7 linked regions of the Neurospora crassa OR74A genome follow. The protein of the gene in region 4 purifies or fractionates together with the protein of the main gene of each other region. This does not show direct contact. Links are inferred from orthologs where the notes say so. Each region holds a gene or a part of one and is shown on either strand. Other genes may lie near its edges.

Region 1 (4,385 bases), on a different chromosome or scaffold from region 4:
GATGTGGCGTGTGTTCTTCCCATGCTATCCGTACTTCCCGTCTTCTTGCCCGGGCTCCTCTTTTTTTTCCACCTCAGGAGAAGAAGGACTCGCAAGAATCGAGCTGACTGTCCGCACAATGTATAGGAAACTGCCACAGCGACCTGACATGGCTTTGTTGTCCCCTTGACTTTGTCCGAGCCAGTATGTTTTCATGTAGACAGCTTTCACTCGATTCAGCGCAGATGGTCTCTTATTTCTCCTCGTGTCCCGAGCACTGAATAGTGTAACAACTTCCCGGGTTCCATTATTTAGTTTACTTCCAAGTCTCGAGGTACTTACTACCTACCTTCAAACTCGACCGGGAGCCGCCAAGCTTGCGTGTCAGTAGAGACATCGCCAACTAAATTTCCAGAAGCCCAGCTCCCATCCTTCAGGCCTTCCAGGCACGCACTGCCTCAGCTCGGCGACTCTTTCGTCCGTTGAGGTTTACTCTATCTACATCACGCGAGGCTAACAAGGGTCATGACGATTTACATCCATCTGAGAACTCCTTGGAGAAGTCATCCGCCCCTGGTGTCGTGGCCTAATGAACTTGACAGTCAGACAGTCTACATCGAGTCACGCTGTTGGATGACGGTTTGTGATGTAGAAACACCTGCAATGCTGTACTATGAAATCAACACCTAAATCCTCCTAGAATCACTGCTTTTGTCCCGTATAATATCATCCCTTTACGCACAAATCGACCCTTGTTCCGGTTTAGTTCGCATATCTGCTCCCATCCTTGCGCTCTGACGTGCCACTGCTTCAGGGGTCAGGACGAACTATCCTGCTAAGACTTATGAGAGACAACCACAGCGTCAAGGCAGGTGCTGAAGCCAACTCCTCATGTGACCAATTCAAATTCTGTAGAATGGTTATCGATCCACCACAAGCTCCGGCCATCCGCACACTCCTGTTCTTCCTGAGCCCACGGCCACCCCGGTGCGGTCATGCATGACCCTCAATAATTTGGAACTCAGACGCCAAATGTCATTGGGCGTTCTGCCCCTTGCCTGCGTGGTATAGTGGTATCATTTTCGTGTTCATTCAGCGATCAGCGTTTAGCTCTGCTTGCACTCAGCAGCCTCCTGCTTGGGCTTGCTGCCGTCCTCCTGTGAAATTTGTCAGCATACCTGCAGAGCATAGCATGTGTTGGGGAAAATTCAGAAAGTCTTACATCGTCTTCATCGCTCTCATCCTCGTCATCCTGGTCCTCGCTGGCATCTTCATCATCCTCATCATCCTCATCATCGAACTCGGCGTCCTCGAAGTCCTCCTCATCGAGCTCCTCAAAGGCGAGGGCCTCGCCAGTGAACCAGTCGATGGCGCGGGGAATAAGCTTCTCCTTGATATCCTCACCGAGCTGGTAGTCGAGCTCAAGACGCTCCTCAATATCGGAGGTGGTAGACTCGTCGTCATCAGTGGGGGCCTTAGGGGGGGAGAAGAAGTTGAAGAAAGACTCGGTAGGAACGGTCTTCTTGACGATGCGGGTCTGCTTGGTGGCTGTGCAATTTGTTAGTGAGCAAGTTTGAGAAAATTCAAGCTGGAACTGCAACTCACTCTTGTTGCGTTGCTTCTTCTGCTCAACGCGGACAGTAAGATCCTTGTCCTCCTTCCAGTTGATCTTGTCACCCTCGGCGTGATCGTAGATAAAGTCGCCACCATAGCCGCTCTCGTTCTGGTAGTAGTAGGTCTTGGTGATAGTCTTGTTGGTGAAGTACTCGTTCTCAGCGAACTCGAAGATGAGGCGGAATCCGGGCTTGTCAAGGTACTCCATGCGGATGTCGGTAAGGGACTTGAGGGCCTCCTCGTCGCGGTCGGTGATCATCTCGGCGAGGGAGATCTGGTTCTTCATGGCAGAGAGCCAGAACTCGGGGATACCAGAGACCTTCTCGGCAGACTCGGTAGCCTTCTCCTCCTGGGGGGCGGCCTCGGTCTCCTCATCCTCCTCCTCCTCATCCTCCTCACCGGCCTGGACCTGGTCCTCAGTGGGCTCAGTCTGGCCGTTGACAATGGCGGCACGCTGTTGGTAAAGAGGAGTGAACTTGGCAAAGTACTTCTTCTCGAGCTGGAGGACCTCCTCCTGGAACTCGGCCTCGAGCTTGGAGTGCTCCTTCTGAATGCCCTTCAGGCCAGCGACACGACGCTTGACATCGGTAGGGAGAGACTCAATGTAGCCGGACGAACGACCGACAAGAGAGCCGAGACGACCCTGGATAAGGGACACAAGTCTAGGGTCCTTGGCGAAGATGGAAGCGGCGGCGGCACGGTCAAGATCCTCTGCAACGAACAGTAAGTTTAGCGACAAGCCCAGAAAACTACCAAATAGTCTCAGCAGCAGCAAGAATCTTCACTCACCCTCCTTGATGCTGGCAACACCGGGCTGCTGAGCGTGCGACGAGATGGGGGCAGTGTTAAGAGGAGTGTTCTGGGGGGTGCTGAAGCGAAGGCTGGTCAGTAACGGTACGCGATACTCGGGATGGGCATCCCATCAAGTCTGGGGATGAAAACTCACGGAGCGATGGGGGGATCAGCCCGCTTGTTTCTGATGGGCTCGGCCATTGTGTCTGGTTCTGGTCAAGAGAAGGAAATGAGTTGGGATACAGAGAAGGAAGCGGTGGTAGAACCCTGCGACCGACGTACAGTGGATGTCGGAGGGAGAAATGGGAGAAGGAAGGGCAAATTTGGATTGAAGAAGCGGTCGGGTGTAGAGATTGATGAAGGGGCCCCGGTGCTGGTGGGAAAGGCAAAAAGTTCTGTGGTTGCCGGTCGGTCCAGGCAGAGAAGGCTTGTTGTGCAGCAGTGCAAGAAATGTTGAGCGAGGGTCGGGTCTGGAGGGGACCGGGAGGGGAGAAAAGCTATCAATGGGGTTGCTATGAAAATTTGCGGGGCACTGGCCAGTGCGGGCAGGACAGTCGGGTCGAGGGCACTGCAGCGGGAGGCGCCCCGTTGGACCACTCCATGATGCCTGCACTGCGCCGGCGACCACCCAGCCCCAGTCCGCTACTTCCATTTGCTGCCCATGAGTCTTGTCGCTTGCCCTACACCACCACCTAGAGGTATTTGACCTTCAATTCTATTCCAGCATAGGCAAGGTGCCCATTGTCATGGGTCACGTCTTTTTAGGGTCAAGCTCCTCCTGTCACTTGTTTGACTCTACACTCGGCCATTGCATGCCCGGTCTGCTCGTCTGAACTGAAAATCCCCTCAGGTACCTACGCCTAGCCAGATGAACCTAAACATGCCATTGTTGTTCTTATCGTACAAAGCCCGTTCATGTACATCGCATTCAGGTAGTGTATTTCCAGGTTGCCCGTCGCGCGTCGCTTCCTGGCACCACATGCTTCAGCATTTGGCTGGCGTGTCTTGCGTGCTAGCGTTCTCTCCAGGGATCCCGGCCAGAGACATGATGTAGGGTAAATGATATTGGTGACATGCCGGCTTCATATACACAAGTTACAAGGTACCTCATAGGTGCAAGATAGTTTAGAAGTTGCTTTTCGTCTGAACTGCGAGCTGCTAATATTGGACGGGTGTTTACATCTCGCCTTCTCACCGGCGTCGGGCTGCGGTGATTTGCTTCTAACGTTTAGGGTCTCTCAACTCAATTAGGCCTCCAGAGCCGGGCAGGTTTTGGAAGGCAAACTTGAAAATTCTGCTGATTCACTCTGTCCTCAGCAAGTCAAAACCTCATCAGCAGAGGCAACTTGACGCACACTTTTCTGCTTATGACTTCGATTATGAGTCGACGCTGGGTTCAGCGACCATCATCGGACCGATCTGAACCATCATGGCCGTAGACCGTCGTGGGCGTCCAACCTAAGTCCAGGTGAGATGCTGCAGTGACCCCAGTACACGACGTACGGGCACGTATGGAGCACGTTCTCTCACGTTGTGGTGTAGTGAGACCGCTCGCGGCATCTGCCAAGTGATCATCGCGATGCCCACGAATCTCCATCGCCAACTGAAGCCGACAAGGTTTGGGCCAGAATGACCCTTGTTGCACTGTGCTTATCGTAAAAATCGTGGATAGCGACCCCCATCTCCGCCATCGACCTTTCTGGCTAGAGGTATGTAAGTAGGCAAGCGTTAGCGGACATGCTTGGCATTCGATTGGCGGGCAGTGTTGAAAGAAAAATCCCATGCCTGTGACTGCCCCACTTGCTGACTGCCCGTTGGGACGGTCTGGCCCCGATCCTTCTCCGTGACTCCGGCGTCCAGGTCAACAAATGTGAAGAAGTCAGACAAGAGGATTCTAGCTGGAGTCCATCATTCCCATCTCCAGTCATCGTGCGGAAAGCCTGATCCACTCACTTGAATGTACAAGATGGTAAGGGAAGTATCGTGGAAGTTATCCATGC
Region 2 (4,243 bases), on a different chromosome or scaffold from region 4:
TGGCCCTGAGTCTTGAGGTACTCGTCATACACGGCAAGAGCCTCCTGGACCTTGACGTTAAGAGCGTTGTCATCCTCGAACCTACAGAGAGACAGGTTAGCGATATGTAGAAGAGTCAGGAATAGACATGTAGACTTACAGGTTGATCAGCTCAGCGTTGTCCATCTCGAGGAGCATGCCGGTGATCTTGCCAGCAAGAGCGGGCTGGATGGCCTGGATCTTGGGGAAGAGGTTCTCGCCAATGATCTGCTTCTGGGCCTGAGGATCCTGAGTGGTAGCGAGCTGAGCCTGGAGGAAAGAGCCAGCGCTGAGGTCGGCAGGAGCGCCAGGAATGGGGGAGGCACCACGGCCGGCAGCCATAAAGTTAGCGTTGCCGCGAGGAGTGCCGCGACCGCCACCGTTCTGGGGACGACCGGCAGGGGGGTAGCCGGGAACGGCAGGGCCGCCCTGGAGACCCTGGGGAATACCGGCGGGGATGCCCTGAGGACCCCGGCCAGCGGGACCGCCACGGCCACCACCAAGAGCACCAACCTGGCCCATAGCAGCCATGTACTGAGGGGTGTTAGGAGGGAAAGCACCAGGGCCGAACTGGTTGATGGGGTAACCCATAGGGGGCATCTGCTGGGGAGGGACGCCACCGCGGCCACCCTGCTGGTAGGGGTACTGGCCAGGGCGACCACCCTGAACGCCGGGGACGATACCACCCTGGGGGAAGGGGACGCCACGACCGCCGGGGGCGGGCATGAAACCAGGCTGCTGACCAGCGTAGTAGACAGGAGCCTGCATGTACTGCTGGGGCATACCAGCCTGGGCAGCGGCCTGCTGCATGCGGAGCTGGTTGCGAGCCTGGATGCTGGCCTCAAGCTGGCTCTTGCGGACATCCTTGCGCTGGGCAAGAGCGACGTAGAGGGGCTTGCCATCGACCATGCGCTGGTTCATCTCAGTGACGGCCTTGGTGGCATCATCGGGGTTGCTAAAGCAAACGAAGCCGAAGCCCTTGCTCTTGCCGAGCTTGCGGTCACCCTTCTTCTCAGTCTTCTTCTCAGAGCCCTCATTCTGCTCCTCCTCCTTGGTCTCACCCTCCTTCTTGTTCTCCTTGTCCTTCTCATCCTTCTCCTCGGAGCCCTCGATCAGAGAATCGCGCATGACCTTGGCGGAGGTGATGGGGCCATACTCAGAGAACATGGCACGGAGCTTGTCGTCATCGACATCATCGCCGAGGTTCTTGATGTACAGGTTGACACCCTGGTACTTGTTGGCCTTCTCGAGGCGGGCAGCCTCGTAGGACTTGCGGAGCTCCTCCTCGCGCTCGTGCTTCTTCTGGGCACGGCCGACGTAGAGGTCCTGGCCACGGAAGTCCTTGCCGTTGAGCTCATCAACAGCCTGGGCAGCAGCCTCGTGGGTGGTGAAGTTGACGAAACCGAAGCCACGGGACTTGCCCTCCTGGTCACGGGCAAGGGAGGAAGAAGTGACCTCACCGAACTTGGCGAAGAGCTCACGGAACTCCTCGTCGGTGACCTCGTTGTTAATGTTCTTGACATAAACGTTGGTGAAGTTGGCCTTCATCTCCTCGAACTTGCTCTGGCGGTCCTTCTTGGGAATGTGGTGGCCAACGTAGACCTTCTTCTCGTTCAAAAGCATGCCGTTGACGTGCTTGATGGCCTGGGAGGCAGCCTCATCGGTCTCGTAGTGGACGAAACCGTAGCCCTTGGAGTTACCGTGCTCATCCTGGGCAACCTTGCAGGAAAGGATGTTGCCGAAAGCAGCAAAGGTGTCGTGAAGAGCCTTGTTATCAATGGCAGCGTCGAGGTTCTTGATGAAGATGTTGCCGGCACCGGTCTTGCGGAGGGCGGGGTCACGCTGGGACCACATGATGCGGCAAGGGCGGCCCTTGATCAGGGTGTAGTTGAGCTCCTCAAGAGCCTTCTCGCCGTCAGCGGTGGTGTTGTAGTTGACGTAGGCATAGCCGAGGGAGCGACGGGTGACAGCATCGCGGCAGACACGAATGGAGGCGACAGAGCCGATCTGGGAGAAGAGCTCGAAGAGCATGGCCTCGGTGACGGAGGGGTCAAGCTCGCCGACATAGAGAGAGGCGGAAGCCTGGGGGTGAGGGGCAGCAGTGGGGGTAGGAGCAGCCTCAGCACCCTCGGCCTGGGCCTCGGGGACAGCGCTGGTGTCGATGGGGGCCGGGGCAGCGGCCTTGTTGTCGAGGCTGGTGTTGCCGAGGTCAGCGGCGAGCTGGTCGACAGCGGCGGTAGAAGTGGCAGCCATTTTTGCTGGTTAAACTGTAGATTCTGTATGATGGATGGAACTGTCAGCGTCCGTATCCTTTTGTGTGTGTCTGTGTCTCTGATCAAGGCGCCGAGGGGTAACCGATGTGTCGACCGACGACGACAGCGGAAAGGAGGAGGAGAGGACAAGTCTCAATTGACGTGACGTTGGGCGGGCGGCACTGGCGGCGGCCACGGCGACGACGACAACGACGATGGCAAGGCAGGAGGAATTGATAGTGCGACGAGCAACGTACCCGAGATCTAGAGTTGTGTGGAGCAAGTAAAACCGGCGCGGAGAACGGGCGACGGTATTGACAAAGAGGGAGGATGAACTCGACTGGTCAAGGACGAGATTCGGGAGAGGGAGAGGAAGACTGGTGGACTTGGAGACTTGGGTAAATGTCTTCCAAAAAAGGTGGGTGGATTTGGTGGGTTTTATGGGGTTTTGTATGGATGGGGGGGATTTCTCTTTTTTCGGCGATTTTCAAATTTTTTTGGTGAGGTTTTGTTTGTCACAGACAAGAAGTAGATAGAACAGAGACCGAGAGGGTAAATGTTCGTACTTATCTGACTTCTTTCTGGCTTCGGTTTGGAGGAGTTTCCTGAGGATAAAGGGCGTGAGGTCCGCTGAAGAAAGAAGAGGAGGAGAAAGAGGGCAAGAAGCAACGACGCCCGGATGGCTCACGTCTTAATGCGGAGGTCAGATTTTTTTTCTTTCCCGCCCACGCATCTTGTGGTTGCGCACTGTGCCGCGCCCCTCGTAGCCGGTGAAGTGCGGCTAGGGCGGTCAGGGCATGCGGGTATCGGGGTGGCATGGGCTGCAAAACCTTGATTTATCGATAGGACCCGCCAGGAATTCTCGCATAAAGGCATCCATCCACCTGTGCAGACTGCAGACCAGACCGGAGATCCAGCGAAACGTGCGACTTCCAACTTTGCCTGGCACTTCCACTTGCTCCCGGGCCACCACCTGAGATCAAGCATACTTACGGTACTGTGGTCGACCATGGCTGACGACGACTCATGCCAACAACAGGCAGACATGGGCACTTATTCATGAACCCTGGAGGGTTGTTATGAAACCCTGCGTTTCAGCCGTACCTATTTGGTATAAACCGGCGAGATTCACTTGTATTGAATCACGGGACATTCCATCTCAGTTGGCGGTTGGAGTTGAAGATGCAATAGGTTACAGCGGTGTGCCGGATTTTGGCACTGGGTCGCTGGCATCTGTCCCATCACCATGGAACAATGCTAACGACCGCCTTACCTTTCTGGAAGTCCGCTAGCAAACGGCATTGCTGCTGCATTCGTGCCACGGGCATATTTCACACCAGACAAAAATAGAGAAGTAAAACGGATGTCCTGAGTATCAGCATTCGCAGTCCATTTCACCTGCAAAAAAGACATTGTTGGCAAAGCCGCGCACGGAACCTTGGATGGGGCAACTTGGCCGGATGACCTGCCAGGATGTTGCAGTCATATACTGGTTAGCCAGCGGCAAAAACCAAAGTCTGGAACAGGGCATCTTGGGTACTCGAACAGTTCGAGCGTAATGACACATCCTAACATTTCGACGAAAAGGTTTTGGTCCTGATGGCGGCTGCTGTCTGTTGAGGTTGGTCCCATTGTGGTGATTGGTCCCTGTGCCGGGTCAAGTCTAACATGGAAAAGAACAAGATGTCAAGATCGGCTTGATACAAATACCCGAACCAGTCCCACCCGAGTTGCTGCTGGGTTCATCTGGAAAAGGAAGGAACTCGTATGAAGATATTCATATATCAAGACTACCTCCACCACCGTTAGCGCAGCAATTGGCACGGCGGACACCACAATCACTCAATCAAGAAGTCAAGTGAAGTGGAAGGAACCAAGGCGGGAGCAGGCATCTGACGGACGACGCTGCTTGGCTGTGTCCCAGACTAGCCTTGCCAGCCCAGGGCTTGTTTGACCTCTGGCCTTCGTGTTTG
Region 3 (4,350 bases), on a different chromosome or scaffold from region 4:
ATACCTCGATAAGTTTTATCTCTCTAGGGAGGAATAGTTCCAGAGGATGTTCGTTGCTAATGGTTAGTATAAGTAAAGCTTGTAATTATATGCGTATTGGGCTATAGTACCCCTCGATCTTCCTTAGGTTATTTTTTTTTTCTTTTTTTTTTTTTTCTTTTTTTATATTATTATCCTTAGGTTATTATTTACAACTAGTTTCATGTGTTGTCTTTATTTAGAGCCGGAATTAAAGTTTTTTATTTTTTTTTCGTTATACTTTCTTATTGTTATATTTATATTAAGGAATATATATTTTATACTATTATATCGAAATAGTCCTAAAGGAGGCGTATTTGGGGTAGCCTGAGGTGAATATTCTTATTGGCTACCTATACGGTACCCGTACTCTAATTTTCTTATATACCTAGGTTAGAGTTTTAATTTACAATTATTAGAAAGGGAATAATAGGAATTACTTCTATAAAGAATACCCGCCACTTAGGTAGCTTAGATAAGTAATTTAATATAGCGCTTTCTCCCCTACTACCTACCTCTATCAATATAAGTGTAATATTGATTGAAAATTGCTGTGAAATAATTGTAAGGCTTTTGTTACTTAGAATAGATATTAATTGTTGAATAAATAAATATAATTAAACAATTATTATATTAATAAGAATATTAGCTTGCAATTAGCAATTTAAGTGAGTATATTTATTATGTTGTATATTTTGTAGTTCGGGTCGTATTGTTGTGGTACAGTTCGCTGTTGTCGTACTTTTGTGCGCTGTTGAACGGTTAATTCCGTTTTGTATACAATACCGCGTTAATAGTCGTTGTACTATTAATTAAAACTACGTATTGTAAAATAAAACCAACTTCAATACAACAATATTCAATTATCTAGTAGATTACAGTAAGAAACAATATTGTGTAAGGATGTTGTAGCCCACAACCCCTGCTCAAGCGTTTTATACTATAAAGGCCTGCTACGCCCACTTTTGTCAGACCCCCCATTCCCTCCAGGGCAGTTCCGTTCCGCTCGTCGAGGGCGGAGGCTCGCTTGAGGTTCGTTACCTTGAGGTTCAGTAGTAGCTGGTGCGGGGAGAGAGCTGACAGTGACAGCCGGGAGCCTGATGAGGTGGCGGAGCGCTCACTACTGGCCTGGCCTGGCCGGGCCGAGCGCTAGTACCTAGCTCTAGAGGTACCTCTACCTCTACGACCGACGCTCACGCCGCCCCCAGGCACACAGTCAACCCGCGTGGGGCAACGGAGGCCAACTAGAAACTGCAGTGTGTCACAGCCTGAACACCTAGCCAGCCCGGAGCCCAGGACCCGACACCTTCTCCGTCCCATCCACACCTCTGACGGACCTTCCACTTTTGTTTCTCTTGCGGTTCCATCTCGTAGACATCACCCACTTCTTCCTTTACCTCCGTCTATCTCGAACATAGGCCGCCAACGTCCTAGGCCACTCCTCGGATTCTCAACCTTTCCGCTTTTCTTAGCACTATAGTAGCTTCTTTTCCCGATTGGCGCTGTCGGTTGCTCCAAGGACACTCCTCTTCTTCCCTTCCATAGACAGCATCTTCAGTCTTGGACCTTGCTGCTTCGTCCCCCCTCGGTTTATTGCACCATTGCGATCCCTGGAGGCTTCGCTATCTAGAAACCCGGCCATTATTATTCAGTGCCGGCATTTGAACGACCAGCTTGACGCCTCTCCTTCGCCCCCTGACAGCAGTAACTAAGTAGACTCCCCGTCTGCGACATCTCCTGCGACCGCTCAGCGCGCCCCAATTTCAGACCTCCTTCGCAAACTTCTAGTAGTGTACACATCTAGTCCGGCACCACAGGCCACTTAGTCAACATGGGGTATATGACTCCCACATCAAAGCTCCTCCCTCGCCGTATACGCGCGCGTTGTTCAGGCGTGTGGCTAATACCCCCTCTTGTCCAGTGTTCCCAAGTTCTTCAGATGGCTCTCGGAGCGGTATCCCGCCATTTCTCAGCTCATCGCCGAGAACCGTATCCCCGAGTTCGACTGCCTTTATGTTCGCTGCTCCCTCCCGAGGCCTGATGGCTGTCTTGCGTTACTTGCCTAGCTAACCGGTTTGCTCAGTTGGACATGAACGGTATCATCCACAACTGTACCCATAAGGACACGAGCGATGTACAATTTCGCATGACAGAGGAGGAGATGTTCATTGCTATATTCAACTACATCGAACATCTCTTCGGGAAAATCAAGCCCAAAAAGCTTTTCTTTATGGCTATAGATGGCGTTGCCCCTCGCGCAAAGATGAACCAACAGCGTGCTCGTCGTTTTCGTACCGCGCTGGACAATGAGAAGGCTAGAGATAAGGCGATTCGTGAGGGCAAGGAATTGCCCAAAGAAGAACCTTTCGACAGTAACTGCATCACACCTGGTATGTCTGGCGCTGGTGCCCGCTTGAATGTTTTCCCCGGAGGCTAACTAGCTGCATAGGAACCGAATTCATGGCCAAGCTCTCGCAACAGCTGAGATATTTCATCCATAAAAAGGTCTCGGAAGACAGGGACTGGCAACAGCCCGAGATTGTCTTGTCTGGACACGAGGTCCCTGGTGAGGGTGAGCACAAGATCATGGAGTACATCCGCAATGCGCGCGCTCAACTCGACTATGACGCGAACGTCCGTCACTGTTTGTATGGCCTCGACGCCGATCTGATCATGCTTGGCCTCCTCAGCCATGACCCTCACTTCTGCCTTCTGCGCGAGGAAGTTACCTTTGGCCGCGGCCCGTCTAAGCATAAGGCAAAGGGACTGGAGGAGCAAAACTTCTATTTGATGCATCTCTGCATAGTCCGCGAGTACCTGGAGCTGGAGTTCCAGGATCTCAAGAAACCTGGAGCCATGTCTTTTCCATTCGATATGGAAAAAGTTATTGACGACTTCATTCTTATGGCATTCTTTGTCGGAAACGACTTCCTTCCCAACCTTCCGCGGCTTCACATCAATGAAGGCGCTCTTTCGCTCATGTTTAGGATCTACAAAGAAATTCTTCCGCGCGGCGACGGATATATCAACGAGGGCGGTAAGGTCAACCTCCAGAGACTCGGCCTGCTTCTGGAAGAACTCGGCAAGGAGGAGTATCGCTTTTTCGAACATGAACATGAGGATCAAAGCTGGCTTCGGGCCAAGAAGATGCTTGAAGATAACGAGGCAGAGACAGCAAAGGCAAAGACCAAGGGCAAGCTCATCGTCACCACGAACCAGAAGAATCTCTGGAAGCAGAAGATCAGGAAATTCCTTATGAATAGGAGCACTAATACGCTTGACCTCGGTACCGAGTTGAAGGCCGAGGACCGCAAGTTTGTCCAAGACTTGGCTGATACTGCTCACATTCCTTGGGCAACTAAGGAAGATGACGAGGGACACCGCCACCTAATCCTGTCCTTCCCCGAGAGAGACGACGAGTCGGAAGAGGACGAGGAAGCCCAGTCAGCCGTTCTCCGTATCATCAAGAAGTACGACAACGCCCAAGTCCTGGATTTAACTGCGGCCGACTCGAAGGCTGCCATGGAGGTTAAATACCAGCAAAAGTTCCAAGAGTGGAAAGACAAGTACTATGCCGAGAAGTTTGAGGATTGGACCCCAGAGAACAAGGAGGACGAACTCCGCAAGTTGACGGAGAATTACGTCCAGGGTCTTCAATGGGTGCTCTACTACTACTACCGTGGTATTGCTTCTTGGCCCTGGTTCTATCGCTACCACTACGCTCCCCTGATTTCCGATGTCATGAAAGGCCTGAAAGCCGACCTTAATTTCAAGATGGGTCAGCCGTTCAAGCCATACGAGCAGCTGATGGGTGTCTTGCCAGACCGCAGCAAAAAGATCGTGCCGACAGCATATTGGGATCTTATGACAAACCCCAATTCTCCCATCATCGACTTCTACCCAAGAGACTTTGAGCTTGACATGAATGGCAAGAAGATGGATTGGGAAGCCGTTGTCAAGATTCCCTTCATTGACGAGAAGCGGCTGCTTGCAGCAATGGGCCCCAAGAACGAACTTCTCTCGGACGTTGAGAAGTCGAGGAACGATTTTGGCGTCGCACTCAAGTTCACTTATTCCGATTCGGTAGACTTTGAATACCCTTCCTCCCTTGTCGGAATCTTCCCGCCCATTCCCCACTGCCACTGTATCGAGAACATTTTCGATCTTCCGCCCGTGGAGGGACTGGAATATCGTGTTGGCTTGACCGACGGTGCTCTGCTGAACGAATCGGCGCTGGCCGGATTCCCTTCCCTCGCTACACTGCCATACACCGCCTCCCTTGGGTACCATGGCGTCAACGTGTTCCAGTCGGAGAGTCGCAATCAGAGCATG
Region 4 (4,566 bases):
TTCCGCCTTTTTCTTGCCCGGAAGCGCTCGAGGGTCCTCGATCCACGCTGATCTAGCTGCTTGAGCTTTCTCTTCTGGTCTTGGGATGCACAATTTACCCTCCGCAGGTGTAGCTCTCTGTAAAGTACAGAAAGGCAACGCCCTGCGCATGCTAGATTTGGTCGTGACTTGCGATGTGAAAAGGACCACTGTGGATATTGCTCCCGCTTCGCTGACATATATGTCCGTTGCGCTCCAACAATTTAGTAGCAGAGGCGAGCTATTTGTTCGAAATTATATTCATCGCCTTGGGGTACTGGGAGGGGAAGACGCTTAACAGGCGACCAAAGGATAAGTGACAAAGTGCTGATAACAACACCAAATTGTGACCCTTGGCCCTTTGGCAGACGTGTCCTGCCGCAATCCATCTTCCATCAGAGGGACCGTAAACGACAGGAGCGAGATGGTAGGTCGCGGCGAACCAGTCGCAGGTCATACAGCATTCGCTAATAGAATAATAGTGGAGAGGCGATAATTGAAGGTCGTCGTGAGTCTGGAGAAAATTTCATCAAGCTGTTGACCTAAGCTGTAGACCCTGCCCGAACCCGAAATAAAATAGTAAAACAATCATAGACAATCCGAAATCCGTCAAACAAAGTTGTCGCTGAAGCTGGCATTCGCTCTCATCGACTGTTGCTGTTCCTCATGCATACCCTTCGTTCAAAGAATCTCGTCCTCCATGGGAGCATCACCACCGTTGGCAGCGGCCGGCGCGGCTCCGGTGGCGTTGTCCGTGGTGCCACTCTCGAAGTAGTCAGCCATCTCAGAATCCAACTCCTCGACGGTCTTCTTGGCAGGGCGGGCGCTGCGAGGGCGACGGGGACCCTTCTTGCTGCCAGGCTTAGCAGCAGCAGCACCCTTGGGGGCGTTGGCGGCATGCTTGACAGTGGCGGCAGACTTGGGCTGGGCCTTGGGCTGTGTGATACGCTGAGTCAGGCTCTTGGGCTGAGGGATCAACTCGGCATTGGAAACAACGACCTCGACCTAGGGGAACGTTAGAAAAGCCAGAACCAGAAGATTCATACAATGGAGAATGAGCGTACCTTGACCGGGCGGTTGTCAATCAGGAGACCGTTGAGAGTGTTGTACGCCTTGGTAGCACCATCGGCGTGGTGGAAGGTAATATGAGCAATACCGCGGCTAGTGCCTCCGGGCCCATACGAAAGTTCCACCCTCTTGACCTGTCCAATAGCTTGCTGGAAGTATTCCTATCACAGGGTAATTCGTGGTTAGCGTCGTGCGCCAGTTTCAGTGTGGTCGTGTTCGTAACGGTTCGGTTTCAAATCGGTCAAAGCTAGGGCATTATCTCGAGCCGGCCCAAAACCAGGATATAGCCAGAGCAGCGCGCGTAATCTCCAGGTCAGCAACACCAGCAACTGGCAGGTGAGCCGAAAATCCAACACTCACTAGAGCCATCCATACGATCCGATGCGTCTGGGCCCACAGCCCGTAAAGCAGTAGGACGTGTGAAGGGATCCAGTTATGCCAGACAATCCAAGCATGGTCCAGTTGATGTGATGCCGTCCTCTCGTAGAATTCCCGAACAACCACGATGCTAGACCCCGGTTCCCCGGAGTTGTAAATCCCCTGATGGACCAAAACCCCCCAGAAATCGTCCAACCAGGACATGAGAAACAGAGCCTCGAACATCGCTCACTGCGTGGCGCGCTGGGGTGCAAAGATCGACTTCAAGGTGACCAGCCAGGAAGAGATGATGCATGACCCCCCAGCTAGGCTCCCATACAAGATTTGTCTGCCGGATCCTGCACTGCTTGTCCCTTTCCGAACCAGAGGCGCTTGCCAGCCACCACAATGATAAGGAGGGGAGAGCGTGACTGCGATCTGCTCAACTCGCAACATGACGAAATGTAATGACACACGTCAGGGAGGAGCAATCAACGGCAGTCTTGATGGCCTAGGGCCGATTTGCAATAAACGACCGTCCCGACCGCCCAGTGGAGAAAACGACGCCGATTGGATACGCCACGGAAGAGGGATGTCGATAAAAGTCCGAAGGCTAAATGGCCTCATCGGTAATAACATACCTTGATCTGGCCTTCGGAAACGTCCTTGGGCTGCGATGGGAGTTAGCGGTGAAGGATGCTACGCAGGAGAAAGCTGGAGGACGCGACTCACCAGGTTGCTCACGACAATCTTGCTCTCGCCGGTAAGACCAGCACTCTTTGCGGGCGCCGGCTTGGCAGCGTTGCGAGCGGGCTTTGTGTTCTTTTGGATACCGCCAGCGGGGGCAGCATTGGTGGGCTTACCGCCAGCCGAGCGGCGACCTCCACGGCCGCGGGCGTTGGACTTACCGCGGCGCTGAGTGGAGAGAATCTCGTCGAGAGACTGGTCGAGCTTTCCGGACATTATGGCGGTGGGTTGCTGGAAAGTGATTTAGAAGTGGTGAGAAAGACGAGACGCGTGGTCAAGGTGGCTTCAGAGATTAGGAAGCGCGGACGGGCTCAGATGCGCAGTAGAGCTGGCGAAGGTCGCGTTGGGCAGAAGAGTGATAGGGAGGTCAGGTTACGACTCGCTGGTAGCGCAAGGTCGCGTGAAGTCGAAGCGGAGCAAGGGTCGCGCTGCAACGGAAAAGGTGCAGCGACACTGTGATCTGATCGACTCGAATGGCAAGTGGAAATGGACGTGGTCAGGCTGACGAAGTTGGATGCAGTCCTGCGAGCAATGAAAAGAATATGGGTCTTGAGCGGATGGGCTGTATCGGTGATGGACTTTGGCTTTGGCGGTGATAGTAGGTTGTGTTGGGGAATAGGTGGTGTTGTTTGGGTGATAAAGTGGTGAATGGGCGAGAGAGGTGAACGAGGGGGGGGCGGAGGAGGGAGTAGAAACCGGTGTCCGCCCAGAATTTGAGGGAGAACCGACGGGGACCGGAGCCACCTCGCTGCGCTTTCGTCAAGGCTTGGCAGGCTGAGCAGGCTCCCGCCCATACACTACTAACTTGCGGCCACACGCGCCTGTCCTGAACAACATCCAACGTGACGGGATCCTTGCCGCACTGGCCACCCCACCGCTTTGGCTTCGCTCAGAAGGGGAAAGAACAGTCATGGCCAATCACAGCCTTGTGGCAATCGCTTTGGCTGATGGCACTCATTGGTACGCTAATCTCTTTGGGGCTAGACCCATCCCTCCTGACGCAGCTGGGCCGTTCTGTTATGGTACCGGTACCTGCGATGGCGGGACACATAGCCAACTCTCCGAGACGCGTCACCACTTTCAGGGACCCTTTGGAGCTGTGTGTCCTTGTTTATGGATGTTCTTATCCCACACACTCCAAGCTTCCACTTGCTTCTTCAGGGACGTTTGCAATTGAGCTCTTTCACAAGCGGAAACAAAGAACGACCCCTTTGCACATAACAAAAGAACAAACCATATTATTAGTCAGTCATGCTACCCAGAGCGCTTGGCACCCTTCTGCTACTTAACTGGTGACATGATACACCATGATCCGAACAAAAACTGAAATCCAGTGCAAGAGTCTGCTCCTATGCATTGGGTCAACCATGGGGTATCAACCGACTCTGACCCATTCAATCCTCCTCGGCCCGAAACCTCGTTACTTTCCTAATGCTATGTCCCTGTATTCCTTTTGTGATTCCGGGGTTCCCTTCCCTTGCATATCGGTTGCGCCCCAGACCAGCTCTGTCCTGCTCTGCCCTCAGTAGAAGAGAGTGTTCTGTAGGCCGTCTGTCTCCTGTCCTTCTCGGCCTCGCCCCAACCAGATGTCCCAAGGGCGGGACAAGCTGTATCGTGCCGTTTGTGAAATATAGTCTCTGTCTTCGTACCGTACAATTTTGCGGACGCTGTGTCCTATTTTGCCTTGGTCGGGGCCGATGCCACCTTTGTTGCCTTCTTCTCCTGGACAACATCGGTTTCGAGATCTTCGGCATTGGTTTCGAGGAAGTGGTGGAGAACAATAAGAACCATGGCCGCGCACCCGAGAACGATGGCGAGACGGTAAAGTTCGGCGTCAGAAATCATTGTGTCGTTGGCGTAGGAAAAGTCTGTGTTGGGTATTCGTTCGGTGCCGTAACTGGTAGCTGTAGACTTGTTGCGACTCGCAATGCTTGGAGGGGAGTTCAAGTGGGTCCAAAGGGCGCTGTTCTGCTGCTCAAAAAGCTGTCAATCAGACGGCTGGACAGAGACAAGAAAATGCCGTGCTCACTTTTTCTTGGTGATGCCAATCGCACTGGCTGTTCTGCGCCGGGAGGACCGCAAATTCGAAAGTGATGATGCCGATTGTCGGGTGTTATGGACAGCTTTCCACCTTGAGGGCCGCGACGCAGCATCGATGTATCGGTACATCTCCATCCGTTCATTTACAAGAGGATCCGATAGTCACGTGGACGGACCCAAGCTGAAGGAAGGACCTCTTCTTTCGTTAGGTATACCGGCTGCGCTGCCCGGACCAACGTCAGGGCTTCTGTGGGCGGACACCCCAGCGCTTTAAATCCCGGGCGGCGTCAGTGGGCCCATTCCACTTTGGTTAGAGTTGTTTCAACCCACCCACTT
Region 5 (3,598 bases), on a different chromosome or scaffold from region 4:
CTCGCTAAGCCTACCTACCACTTCCCTCTTTCCCCCCTCCCATAACCATAACCAAAACCATACCCTCTCTCTGTCCCCTCCCCCTTCCATATGCTTCTTCCCACATTACTCTACCTCCCAGTGGTTATGTACAACAGATAAACTAACATGCTACCTCCCACGTGTAGAGACCCACGCCCTTACCGATTCCTGCTGGAAGAAATGCGTCACCTCCCCCATCAAGACCAACCAGCTCGACAAGACCGAGGCCGTCTGCATGGCGGACTGCGTTGAGCGCTTCCTGGACGTCAACCTGACCATCATGGCCCACGTGCAAAAGATCACCAGGGGTGGCAGCAAGTAGGTCTCGCGCGCCGATAGGAAGGCGTGGGAGGATGCTTATCAGGAGGAGGAAAAAAGATGAGAACGGGACAAAAAGAAAAGAGGAGGCAGAGGAAGGAGGATGGCGAAAACGGTGACTTGTTTCCCTTGAGGAACTGGTTGTCCCGCGGGGCTGGCTGGCTACGTTTTTCGGTTGGCTGGTCCTGCTTGGTGGGCTTCTTGGGAGACTTGGAGGATGCGGCCGAGGTATCCGACGCTTGTTTTCATGGTGGTTCTGGCTGGGTCTGGTACACTCGGGCTTACTACGACGGAACGGGGGTACAGAGAAGCACCCTTTGCTAGGGAACCTTTGTTGATCCCTGCGATAGGGCTTGCGATTGAGGTTCTGGTCACAATTCTAAGAGACAGTCATTCGAGGAATTGTTACGGTTACGCCTGAAGGCTTGTACGATATATGTGATGGGACAGGGGAAGGATCAAAGGTAGAACTGGAAGGGAAAAGGGTTTATAGGGCATGGGAATTTGTTCAGGAACTTAGACAGTATGACAGGCGGTTCTTGTAGCATGATATGGGAGCGCGCGATAGCGGGATACTCATCTTCATCTTCAAACACAGACCCAATGCGCAGTGCAGGATAATTGGTTATAGAAGTGCAGATAACAATGCGACAATGAGTCCATGGTGATAGCAAGAATACAAGATGTCAGATTCAAGTCTTAGAGCAAGTAGATCTATGGCTTGCAAGGGAGGAGTTTGGATAATGGCCCATTTGGTCATGTCTGATGGAACGGGCAGAATAGTTATAAAAACTTTCATTTCCATGCCATGGACCAAACGCCAAAGGGGTATCAGACGCCGACTTCTTTTTCGTTAAACAGTAAAACCCATGTATCCCTTGAAGATAGTTTTTATCCCGAATCTTGTGTATTTCCCATAGCTATGAAATCGCTAGTTTAGACAAGGCCGAGCTTGGTGGCAGCAATGTCGAGGGCATCGACATCGGCAGTGAGGCGAGCGAAGGCCTTCTTGGAACCGTCAGGGCTGTGAGTGGAGTTAGCAACAAGAACCATATTAATGCCGGTCCATAGGGACCAAAACTAACCGGATCAGGGTGTTGATCTTGACGGTGTCAATGTCATAGAGCTTCTTGAGAGCCTGCTTGATCTGGGCCTTGTTGGCCTTGACATCGACGATGAAGACGAGGGTGTTCTGCTCCTCGATCTTCTTCAGGGCACCCTCGGTGTTGAGAGGGTGGACGATGACCTTGTGCTCATCGAGACGGGGCTCGTGAGGGATCGACTTGCGAGGGTACTTGGGAGCCCGAGACAGCTGAAGAGTCTTGGGGCGGTGGAAGGTGGTCGAGTATCTGACCTTGGTCTTCTTGTGCGAGTGCACCTAAACAGAGAAAAAGAACTCTAATCAGCATCAGAACGTCACCAGGGGGGAAGGGATCGCGAGTCGTCGCAAACTTACACCCTTGAGGGCAGCCTGGGCAGCCTTCTTGGCCTGAGCGCCCTTACCGGCCTTAGAGGCACCGCCTATCCATAGAGTCCCTCGTCAGCAAAAGCATTCGCCTGGAGCAAGATGATGCCAGAATCTTGTCCAAACTCGCAAAGTCTGCTGCTGCTTTGGTGCATCACCTCCGAATGCCATTGCGCGACACGGAGGATCCGCATTGTGCGCGGGGCGAGCATATTTGTCGAGCCGTTCAATTCATTCTTGGTGGAATCGTCGCTGGTGAGATTTTGAGGTTTCTTCAAGTACCTTTCTTGGTATCCTTAGGGGCCATTGCTGCGATTTCTGCTGTCGTCGGGCTAAGAAATCGGGATTCTCGCTGGTCGTTGTCGGAGAGGAGAAAGTTCACTTTTTGGCCAAAATTTGGGGGAGGAAAAAGTGTGCGCGCGGGATTTGTGTGGCTTGGTAGTGTGGCTGAAGTGGTACTGGCAGGGGTTGAGCTGCGCAAACTGGCGCAAACGGGCTCTGAACCACACCAGAATATCCACTTTCGCGAAATATGCTCCACAGTATTTTGAATCTCGACCTCCGATCATCACTTTATCGCTACGCACTCCGTCATTCAACCTTGAAGGTCATGATGCGCCCTCCGATCCAGCTTTCCTCCTTCTGCTCGTGGTCTGTCGGATGAAGTCGGTGCAGGACACCTTGGATTTTCACAGCTCCAAGCCTCGCTGTTCTGTGCCTATCACGACCTCCAGACAAGGACGTGGTGTAGTTGTCTTGCTAACTACAGTGTCACGAACCACCAATCGAAATCGAAAACCAATCTCACCGAGACGGATCACAGTATCGACAAGATCGACTATTTGCGGCTATATACTTGTTACAGCATAGCACGCGACGAAGGACTATGGCACCCAAGAAAGGAGTAAGCAAGAACCTTGCAGCTGGGCGTCCGCCCATGGCTACGCGACCTAAGAAAAAGGGAGTGGTCAAAAACCTGGCAGCAGGCCGTCCGCCCACGGTCACAAAGCCCAAGTCACTTGCGCGGAAAACCACGAAATCCATCATCAACAAACTCCATCTCCTAGAGAAGAGGAAGGTGCAGGCTATGAAGAAGAACGATAACACACAGGTCGCGGCAATTGAGGCGGAGATCGAGGCTTTGGGTGGTATCGAGAAATATCAGGAAGCAAGTCTCCAGGGGCAGAGACATGACCGAGGCGGCGACAGCTCCAACGTGCTCATGGAGTGGGTTGGGCCGTACCTCTCATCCGAGGAGTATAAGGAAGGCCGCTTGCGCATGCTGGAAGTTGGAGCGCTGAGTACAAAGAACGCATGTGCTCAAAGTAACCATTTCGACATCACTCGGATCGATCTCAACAGCCAAGAGCCTGGGATTCTTGAGCAGGACTTCATGGAGCGCCCGTTGCCGAAGGACGAGTCGGAGAAGTTTGACATCATCAGCCTTTCTTTGGTGCTCAACTTTGTCCCAGACCATAAGGACAGAGGCGAGATGCTGGTCCGCACGACACAATTTCTAACATCGCCGAAGCGGTTCTCCGGGACAACCGCTGCATTCTTTCCAAGTTTGTTCCTTGTGCTACCGGCCCCATGCGTCACCAACTCGCGATATCTGGATCAAGAGAGGTTAGCGGCTATTATGGAATCGATCGGGTACGAGATGGTGGAATCCAAGACAACCCAACGGCTGGTCTATTACCTGTGGAGGAGAACATCAGATCAGGTTGGAAACGACAGGCCGTTTCGCAAGGAAGAGCTACGTTCTGGCTCGTCACGCAACAACTTTGCCATTAC
Region 6 (3,784 bases), about 1.1 Mb from region 4:
TCGGCCTGCTGCTCGGCGTTTTCGCCCGGGCCTTGAGTCTCAACGCCCTCCATAGGGTGCGCCTCTTGAGACACAGCATTTGCCTCTTGATCTGCGGCGGCTTGAGCCGCGGCCTGTGCGGCAGCTTCGGCTCGTTCGCGCTCAAGGCGCTCACGCTCCTCTGCCTCCTTCTTCTCACGCGCAGCCTTCTCTTCCGCTTCTTTGGCCTCTCTCTTCTTGCGCTCCTCTTCCTGTCGCTTCTTCCTCTCTTCCTCTGCTTTGCGATCTGCCTCCGCTTTACGAGCTTTCTCCTCCTTCTCAGCCTGGATTGCTGCCGGCGTGAGCTTGGAAAGAATGAGAGGTGCGAGCTTCTGAGCTTTGTCCTGGTAGCCGAAGCCAAAGATCATCTTGACTTCTTGTTGCCACCTCTCATGTGTAGATTCCGGTGAAAATTGGACGGCTTGATGAGGTTCCTGATAGGTATCGCGCCGAGCTTCAGTAGGGCGTGATTCGCGGGAGTGCGGGGGAGGAATTGGGATGGCGTTGAGTTCGCGGATAATCCCGCCCGGTCCGTCTGCTGTGAAATGCAAGGCCAAGGGTCCTCCTCCAGCGCTGAGACGTACATCGGGTAGGTGTTGGACGAGATCACTGATGAAGGCCAACGGCTCCACCCCCATACCCATTCCTAGGCCTCCAATCATATTCGGAGTGATCCCCAGACGAACCAGCTGGCTGTGTGCATGACGAGGAACCTCACGACGAGACTGAGGAAGCAACAGGGGATTTGTTCCAGACATGACGTCGGCCGGAGGGGGCAGATGTCTGCTGAGATGGGCAGGGCGGCGGAAGAAGTTTTGGAAGTCTGACAAATCGTCAACACTCTGAACAAGAAGATGATATCCTAGGATTTAAGGAACTTACCAATCGCGTCACGGTGTCTTCCGACCACGAAAGGACTGTTGGGCCAAGGGCTTCGGGACGGTCGATGTCGATGGTTGGGTTCGATGGCAATGTCCCAGCCAAGCCCTGATGGCATGTTGGGCGCAAGCAAGTCATCATCTGCTTCTCGTGTCAGCTACCAGGTCTGGTAAAGGAATTCGTTCTGATTACTTACGAAGGCCATCGCCGTCGAAGTACATGTCATCATCCATGTCGTCTTCCCCTTCATCTTCATCATCTATTGGAGTTAGCCGTCTTGCTCACTCTTCCAAAGGATCTTGGGAACTTACCGTCTTCTTCGCCATCTTCATCATCGTCGATGTAGTGCCCATCAAAGTCGCGAATTGGCTCAGCATCAAGATCATCGCCAGCATTTTCCATGGCAGCTCGCATGATCTCGGGGAAGGTCCGACGGTTGTGAAGTTGAGCCTCCTGCATATTCTGAGCCTCGGCTTCGTAGTCGAGCTCTTCCTCATCCTCTTCATCCTCGTCGGTGCCATCATCCCACGACGCACCGTCGTCATCAATAGCATTGCCCTCTTCATCAACAATGTGGATATCGTCCTCCAAGTCATCCATGTCTTCGGAGCCGACTTCCTCGTCCTCATCCTCGTCACTAAGTTCCTGCTCGTCATCTTCGTCCATCTCATCATCCTCGTCCATGTCATCCATGTCATCGTTGTCCTCTTCGTCGTCGTTCTCACCCATAAGGACCTCGACAACGCCAGGTTGACCGGGCATTCCTCCCATTTCGCCCATCTCGCCGAGGTCGTCTTCTTCGTCACTAGGGTTGTCTTCGTTGTCTTGTGACATGTCGTCGCCATAGTCAAGCTCATCGTCATACTGTTCATCGTCGTACATGTCTTCATCATCATCCTCGTCCTCGTCGGAGAACTCATCATCACGTCCGGGTTCAAGCATGCCCAATGTGGAGTTGCGATAAAGATCGGGCGTCTCCTCGCGATCATCGGTGAGATCTTCCGAGACGGACGACCCATCGGACAGGAATTCGTCCTCGGCTTGGTCGGTACCAGCTGTACCCGAAGCAGGGATGAGCCCCAATTGACTCATCGAGACTGCAGTCTTTGAGAGTGTTTTGATGACCGCAAGGATGGGCTTGAGCGGAGCCCTGTTGTGCGGGAATGTGAGGTCAATATCGGCAATGGACGCCGTTAGGGACGTCAGGTAACCCTTCTCATACATGAGTCGCTTCAGTTGAGCTTGGGACCGTCCGATTGACGGATCTGTACCGCGCGGGTTGTTGGGGCGCGAATCTTTGTCTCCTTCGCCAATCATTTGGGCCATCAGCTCTGCAAGAGCGTTCATCTTGCCGTATCGAATATCAGCCGGCTCGCCGGAGACAGAAGCATCCTTGTAAGCTCGAAGTATGGTATCCAGGACAAATCGGCGGATAAAGAGCAAGTCCGGCTCATCGTCATACTCAAATGGCTCATGGGTACGGTTCTGAGGCTTCTCGCCGGTCTTGGAAACAAGGGCAACCAGAACAGCGCGCGCTGGCACTGCCGTTGCCGCCTTCTTTTTCATGGCTATCGACTCGGGTACTCCGCTTGCGGGGCTGAAGCAAAGAAGATCGTTGAGAATGTAGTTTAGCACACTGGATCGAGGCTTGACCGGAGCGTTCGCCTGGACGGGGGCGGAGCGCTTAAAGTTGATAAACTCAACCTTGGCACGATTGTAGCTCTGCAACAGCTCGGCAAGACAGTCAAGCAAGAAGCAACGATAGATGAAAATAGGGTGATCCTCGGCCTTGAACGGGGACTTGGCCAGCTTCTTCTCTTTCTCCTTCGACTCCGAATTCTGCTCATCGCCGGAAGGAGAAGGAGTAGCCTCATTCGCAGCAGTGGCATCAGATTCTGGCTTGGAGGCGGCTGCGGGAGGCGCAGGAACGTTCTCCCTCTCGTCAACATCTTTATAGTTGAGCAGCTCGGTCAACAAGAAGTGAACAACACCGTCGGGATGTTCGAGAATCGGCCGCTTGAGGTCTTGAGCGGGGTTCTTAGGGGCATCGTGCATATCCTTGTCCGTCACCTCGGTTGAAGGCTTGACGTCACTGATAGTGAGATCCTCTGTCGCTTGCACTGCAGGTTCGACTGAGCTCTCCTTCGGCGAGACACTAGCATCTGCAGGGCGCTCCTTGAGAACCAAAAATGGCGTGGAGCGCAGCGTTCCGTCTCCCAAGTGCGAAACGGCCCGGTTAAGCTTGAGCAGCTCCGTGCTAACCTCGACGAAGGTCTTGGGCGACCGCAGAGCTAAATGCGCTTGAGTGCGCAGGTATGCCTGTGGTTCAAGGCCCGGGGCTGCGCTGGGCCTCTGCCTCGAAGTCATGAGGTGCCTGATATCCGTCTCAAAAATCTGCCGAAGGGTCTCTTCGTCTTCAATGATGTGTCGAAGGATCTGGCGGATGTGTTCTGAGATATGAGTCTGCTTGAGACGCGTGGAACCGGCACCGCACAACTGCTTTGCCATAACAAACAGCCGTTGCAGGTTCTTCTTCTCCCCAACAATCTTGGCTACCGCGTGATCTCTGGTCAGCACAACGAGGATTCTCAACACCGAAACAGCCAATGACTCTTCTTTGCCAATGCGAGGGAGAAAGTCCAACAGAGTTGTCAAGAGAGACGAGCGGTGCTCGGCCAAGAAGTTGGGCTCCTTCACCTCGATGACCGACTCCTCAATTGGATCATCCTCCTTCACGGGCTGTTTCCATTTGATATCAGGGGGCTGCGCGTCTTTGAAAAGCATGATCTCGAATATGAGGAGAATATAGGGAATCCACGGCGGAAGGCTGTCGTTGGAGCTTGCCGGCGGCAGCTTTAGGAAGCCGAGATAATCACCCACGTAATCT
Region 7 (3,557 bases), on a different chromosome or scaffold from region 4:
ACCCATCCTGACGAAGCGAACCGGTTGCAGCTCTCCCCCCCCAAACATCCACCACCACCACCACAATGTTTGGGGCTTTCAGATTCACCAACCCCCTCTCCGGGGGTCTTCTTTGGTAAGCGACTACCCTATGTTGCAGTTGCGCCAAAGGTTCTACCGGAAATGCTAATCATGTCGCGGCAAACAGGAAGATCCCATGGCGCATGTCCAAGTTCCAGAAGCTCAGGCAGCGCCGCAGACTGAGGGCCGTTGACAACGTCGTCGCCACCATTGAGAACGCTCTTGCCAAGAAGGGTGAGACCGTCAAGGCGGTGGAACGCTGGAGGGCTGAGATGCCCACCGAGGCCGAGATGCTGCCCAAGGACAAGTACACCATCTTCGACCGCAAGGAGAAGAGGTACCGCAAGGGCATCCACAGTACGGGCCACCCTTGTGCATCACTTCACAGCAGTCAAAGACCAAGGCTAATACGGCATTCCTTTTCCAGAGCTTCCCAAGTGGACCCGTGTGTCCCAGAGAGTCAACCCTCCCGGTTACTAAGACCTTCGACCCGGACGATGGACGATATCGTGCAAGCATGTATATCACTTGTAACATTACGCAGCGAAATGGCATGGGTGACATTGGAGATACCGCTAACAGGACCGTTTGCTTGGGGCAAAGAAGAGGAGGCCTCCTGTCTCGTCTCGCAAAGAGACTGACTGACTTGGAGGTCCTGTCCATCATGGACACTCCTGCTCGCTCCATGTTGAGATACCACTGCAGAGAGCAGCGCAAACACGGCCAGGCGAGCATCACAGAAGAATGTGTGGAGCCATACCGAATGGATGGGAAATCAATAATTTCCCGAAATACCATAGCAAGATACCAATACAACAACGAATATCATGTCTTCCAAGGGGGTATTTGTCTTTTACGCTTCTCTGTTCCGCCTCCACTTGCCCTGAATGAACAAAATTCGTAATTTCAGAGCCGGCTTGCATATTTTGTGTCGATTTGTCATGACGACTGGTTGAATATCTGTGCACTGGATCATGATGCACTCCCTCATTGTCCCACGTAACTCCCATGCAATGACAACTCTAGCGCAAGCGGCCGTATTGTTCGTCGTTATCGTCGTAGCGCTTGTGGTCATGCTCCCTCATTCTCTCGGCCTGGATTTGCCGGCCAAGACCACCGCGGCCCTCGTCGTAGTCCTCACGGTACTCATCACGAACTTGGCCGCCCGACTTTCCACGGCCGTACTGTCGCCCTTCCTCGAAGCCTGGGTCGAGATCGGTTCGGATGATGCGCTCGTCCAACTTGGTGCCGCCAATGTACTTCATGCAATCGAGAGCGTCCTGATGGGTGTAGTATTCGACGAAGCAGAAACCGCACGGTGTCTTTTGTAAGCGATCGAGGCCCATGACCAAGCGCTTGATCTCGCCGCATTTGCTAAAGAGTTCGTAAACCTGTTCTTCGGTAGTGTAGAAGGAACTGCCGAGGTACATTCGGTTAGTTCTTGTTTCTTTTGATTTTTTTTTGATTTTTTTAATTAAGGACTGGCAGCGTGGGGCAAACTTGCAGATTGCCGACGTAGAGCGTGGTCGCATCCTTCAACGGGTCATCGAACGCTTCGGGATGCATGTTACTGTCTTCGTTTTCTCCATCGCGGTGGTCCCGGTCGTGACGTCTGTTGCGCCTATTCTGTGTTGAGTGGATGGGTCAGCGGTCGACGGGGTGCTAATTATGGACAGGAGAGATTGGCAATGTTTGGGCATGGAAATGCCGTCAGGAGCACTCACCTTGTTGAAAAAGTATGCACTTGGCCTGTCAAGGCGCTCTACGGTGCTCCTTTGGCGAGTGTTCAACATGGTTACCTGGTAGTGAAGATGGATTATCTGCTCTTGGGTGAAAGGTGCCCTGCAACTGCGAAGAAGAAGGAAAATCAAAAGCTGTCAGCCCAAGTGGAAGTTCAATGGTTTGGAGTTCTGAGACGTCGATGGGGATGATGCAGTGGTTTCCCTTGCCAATGGAATTGGACCTACCTAAGAGGTAACTTAGGTTGCCCGCTAAAGTGGAAGTACAGGCGCAGCTACTTTCTGAGCGCGACTGGTGTGCCCGTGTACCGCGACAGCAGCACTGCAGGCTTCGTTCACAGTTCAGTTCAGCTCAGGTCAGTTACACTTAGTCCTGTTGGCGCACAGTGTCACAGTGCATCGGACATCACTGCATGGCAATCCAGGTAGTCTTGGCACTGTAACGGGCGACGGAAGCCGTTGGTGGTGGGTCAGGTACCCTATCTTACGAGGTGCCCGCAAATATGACGACGGCAGGCAAGGGCAGAGCGATGGAAGCAAGGGCAGGAGGACTTGGTGGAGGCGCTTTGTCGTTGATCCAACAACCATTGCCAGCCGATTGGACCGCAATCTGGCACCCAATTTACAGGCGCGTCACAGCACAACTGTACCTACCTCGGGCTTACCATTTATAGTATGTATACAGCTAGGTCTCCGTTAAGACCTCCATTCGGCCATTCCATCCCCTCTCATCCCGGGCGGCCTGCCTGTCTCCTGTTGATCAATGACCGATGGTGTGAGACGAGGCGGCGAGCACGGTCTGGACTGAACACCGGCGGACAGTTGAAACGGACTAAAGGGCTGTGGAAGGAGTGGAAACGCGCTAAAATGAAGCTAACACGATCGATCAAGGCAAGCAACGGAAAATATACGGCATAGGCACGGAAGCGGACGCCTCTAGTGACGCCCTGGACGCCTCATTTACAGCACTGGCTCGGACTGGACAATAGTGGCATCCAGCACTCGTCCATCCACGGGCATCCATCAGGTCCGTAGCACTACACGCTAGTCAAACCTTGTTGTTACCATCCTGACCAGCCAACCGAGACCACTAGCAAACTTCGCTTTCCTGGCTTTTTCTCCCATGGGATCGATCGAGGGGCCTGCCACTTCAAAAAGGGATCCCAATCTCTCTCCTTGTCTTCCCTCCCTTGGCTTCTGTTCTACTTGCTCTTGATCACCTTTTTTTTTTTTTTTTTTCATCTTCAAAAACCGAGAACCGCCATCACATTAATAGTACCGGTACATCAAATACATACGTACCTCGACCATAGTGCGCCTGCCTACCTACATAGCCAATTACCTCCCCACCTACATACATTACTTCAGCAGAGAAAGCGAAGTGCAGCACGACGACAAAAACCGGCCCGTGCATGCTAGGACATAGCAGGACCTCAACACAAGCTACTATTTCTGCCTAGCCAGACACCAACTTCGGTTTTCATTGCGCCACACGAACCACCGTCATCTGTAGGATTCATCAGGCTCGAGTTGGATAGTATAGCGACAACAGACAGCTCTTAGCACAAAACCACCAAGCACAGTCGGGATGCCCAAAATCCGGAGCTTCTCGGCGCCCTGGCTCCAGGAGCCAAACCCCGGCCATAAGCTCTTTGAGCAGGCCGAGGAAACCAACCGGCTCCCCGCTTCGATAGCTTCCTCCAGGAACGCCAGTCAGGGACCCAATCGCACCATCGCACACCGAGGAAACGAGGTCTT

Evidence for each region.
Region 1: the proteins of NCU01793 (region 4) and naf-1 purify together in Saccharomyces cerevisiae (affinity purification with mass spectrometry; 5 studies listed by BioGRID, with this or other methods). This does not show direct contact. The link is inferred for Neurospora crassa OR74A from reciprocal best matches to the Saccharomyces cerevisiae genes YRA1 and NAP1.
Region 2: the proteins of NCU01793 (region 4) and NCU04799 purify together in Saccharomyces cerevisiae (affinity purification with mass spectrometry; 3 studies listed by BioGRID, with this or other methods). This does not show direct contact. The link is inferred for Neurospora crassa OR74A from reciprocal best matches to the Saccharomyces cerevisiae genes YRA1 and PAB1.
Region 3: the proteins of NCU01793 (region 4) and NCU06678 purify together in Saccharomyces cerevisiae (affinity purification with mass spectrometry; 4 studies listed by BioGRID). This does not show direct contact. The link is inferred for Neurospora crassa OR74A from reciprocal best matches to the Saccharomyces cerevisiae genes YRA1 and XRN1.
Region 5: the proteins of NCU01793 (region 4) and NCU06226 purify together in Saccharomyces cerevisiae (affinity purification with mass spectrometry; 3 studies listed by BioGRID). This does not show direct contact. The link is inferred for Neurospora crassa OR74A from reciprocal best matches to the Saccharomyces cerevisiae genes YRA1 and RPL25.
Region 6: the proteins of NCU01793 (region 4) and NCU08501 purify together in Saccharomyces cerevisiae (affinity purification with mass spectrometry; 3 studies listed by BioGRID, with this or other methods). This does not show direct contact. The link is inferred for Neurospora crassa OR74A from reciprocal best matches to the Saccharomyces cerevisiae genes YRA1 and TOM1.
Region 7: the proteins of NCU01793 (region 4) and NCU00210 purify together in Saccharomyces cerevisiae (affinity purification with western blotting; 7 studies listed by BioGRID, with this or other methods). This does not show direct contact. The link is inferred for Neurospora crassa OR74A from reciprocal best matches to the Saccharomyces cerevisiae genes YRA1 and CBC2.

Annotation. Positions count from the first base shown.
Region 1 is NC_026505.1:4,745,790-4,750,174, forward strand, and holds naf-1 (nucleosome assembly protein), read right to left. Parts: upstream 2,861-4,385; 5' UTR 2,587-2,860; coding exon 2,540-2,586; intron 2,463-2,539; coding exon 2,383-2,462; intron 2,305-2,382; coding exon 1,585-2,304; intron 1,528-1,584; coding exon 1,202-1,527; intron 1,137-1,201; coding exon 1,086-1,136; 3' UTR 382-1,085; downstream 1-381. UniProt on the Saccharomyces cerevisiae protein: Acidic protein, which assembles histones into an octamer (in vitro). Involved in the regulation of the localization and the function of the septins during mitosis. Involved in the function of B-type cyclins.
Region 2 is NC_026506.1:863,769-868,011, forward strand, and holds the start of NCU04799 (polyadenylate-binding protein), read right to left. Parts: upstream 2,942-4,243; 5' UTR 2,528-2,941; intron 2,295-2,527; 5' UTR 2,272-2,294; coding exon 140-2,271; intron 82-139; coding exon 1-81. UniProt on the Saccharomyces cerevisiae protein: Binds the poly(A) tail of mRNA. Appears to be an important mediator of the multiple roles of the poly(A) tail in mRNA biogenesis, stability and translation.
Region 3 is NC_026505.1:4,231,907-4,236,256, reverse strand, and holds the start of NCU06678 (exonuclease Kem1), read left to right. Parts: upstream 1-1,284; 5' UTR 1,285-1,849; coding exon 1,850-1,854; intron 1,855-1,939; coding exon 1,940-2,033; intron 2,034-2,101; coding exon 2,102-2,408; intron 2,409-2,467; coding exon 2,468-4,350. UniProt on the Saccharomyces cerevisiae protein: Multifunctional protein that exhibits several independent functions at different levels of the cellular processes. 5'-3' exonuclease component of the nonsense-mediated mRNA decay (NMD) which is a highly conserved mRNA degradation pathway, an RNA surveillance system whose role is to identify and rid cells of mRNA with premature termination codons and thus prevents accumulation of potentially harmful truncated proteins.
Region 4 is NC_026502.1:2,392,368-2,396,933, reverse strand, and holds the start of NCU01793 (RNA binding domain-containing protein), read right to left. Parts: upstream 2,892-4,566; 5' UTR 2,407-2,891; coding exon 2,176-2,406; intron 2,115-2,175; coding exon 2,085-2,114; intron 1,248-2,084; coding exon 1,083-1,247; intron 1,024-1,082; coding exon 700-1,023; 3' UTR 1-699. Other genes in the region: NCU01794 (hypothetical protein), read right to left, coding at 3,865-4,035. UniProt on the Saccharomyces cerevisiae protein: RNA-binding RNA annealing protein. May have a role in pre-mRNA metabolism. Component the TREX complex, which operates in coupling transcription elongation to mRNA export.
Region 5 is NC_026503.1:1,964,876-1,968,473, forward strand, and holds NCU06226 (60S ribosomal protein L25), read right to left. Parts: upstream 2,288-3,598; 5' UTR 2,112-2,287; coding exon 2,087-2,111; intron 1,861-2,086; coding exon 1,796-1,860; intron 1,718-1,795; coding exon 1,425-1,717; intron 1,364-1,424; coding exon 1,276-1,363; 3' UTR 785-1,275; downstream 1-784. Other genes in the region: small zinc finger protein Tim8, read left to right, coding at 168-343; NCU06227 (hypothetical protein), read left to right, coding at 2,691-3,598. UniProt on the Saccharomyces cerevisiae protein: Component of the ribosome, a large ribonucleoprotein complex responsible for the synthesis of proteins in the cell.
Region 6 is NC_026502.1:3,443,047-3,446,830, forward strand, and holds part of NCU08501 (E3 ubiquitin-protein ligase TOM1-like protein), read right to left. Parts: coding exon 1,209-3,784; intron 1,157-1,208; coding exon 1,094-1,156; intron 1,039-1,093; coding exon 901-1,038; intron 842-900; coding exon 1-841. UniProt on the Saccharomyces cerevisiae protein: Probable ubiquitin ligase protein involved in many cellular processes, such as transcription regulation, maintenance of nuclear structure, cell cycle, mRNA export and rRNA maturation.
Region 7 is NC_026503.1:3,018,516-3,022,072, reverse strand, and holds NCU00210 (nuclear cap binding protein subunit 2), read right to left. Parts: upstream 2,045-3,557; 5' UTR 1,854-2,044; coding exon 1,785-1,853; intron 1,687-1,784; coding exon 1,565-1,686; intron 1,477-1,564; coding exon 1,083-1,476; 3' UTR 602-1,082; downstream 1-601. Other genes in the region: NCU00211 (mitochondrial ribosomal protein subunit L31), read left to right, coding at 66-115, 188-417, 488-540; NCU00209 (hypothetical protein), read left to right, coding at 3,388-3,557.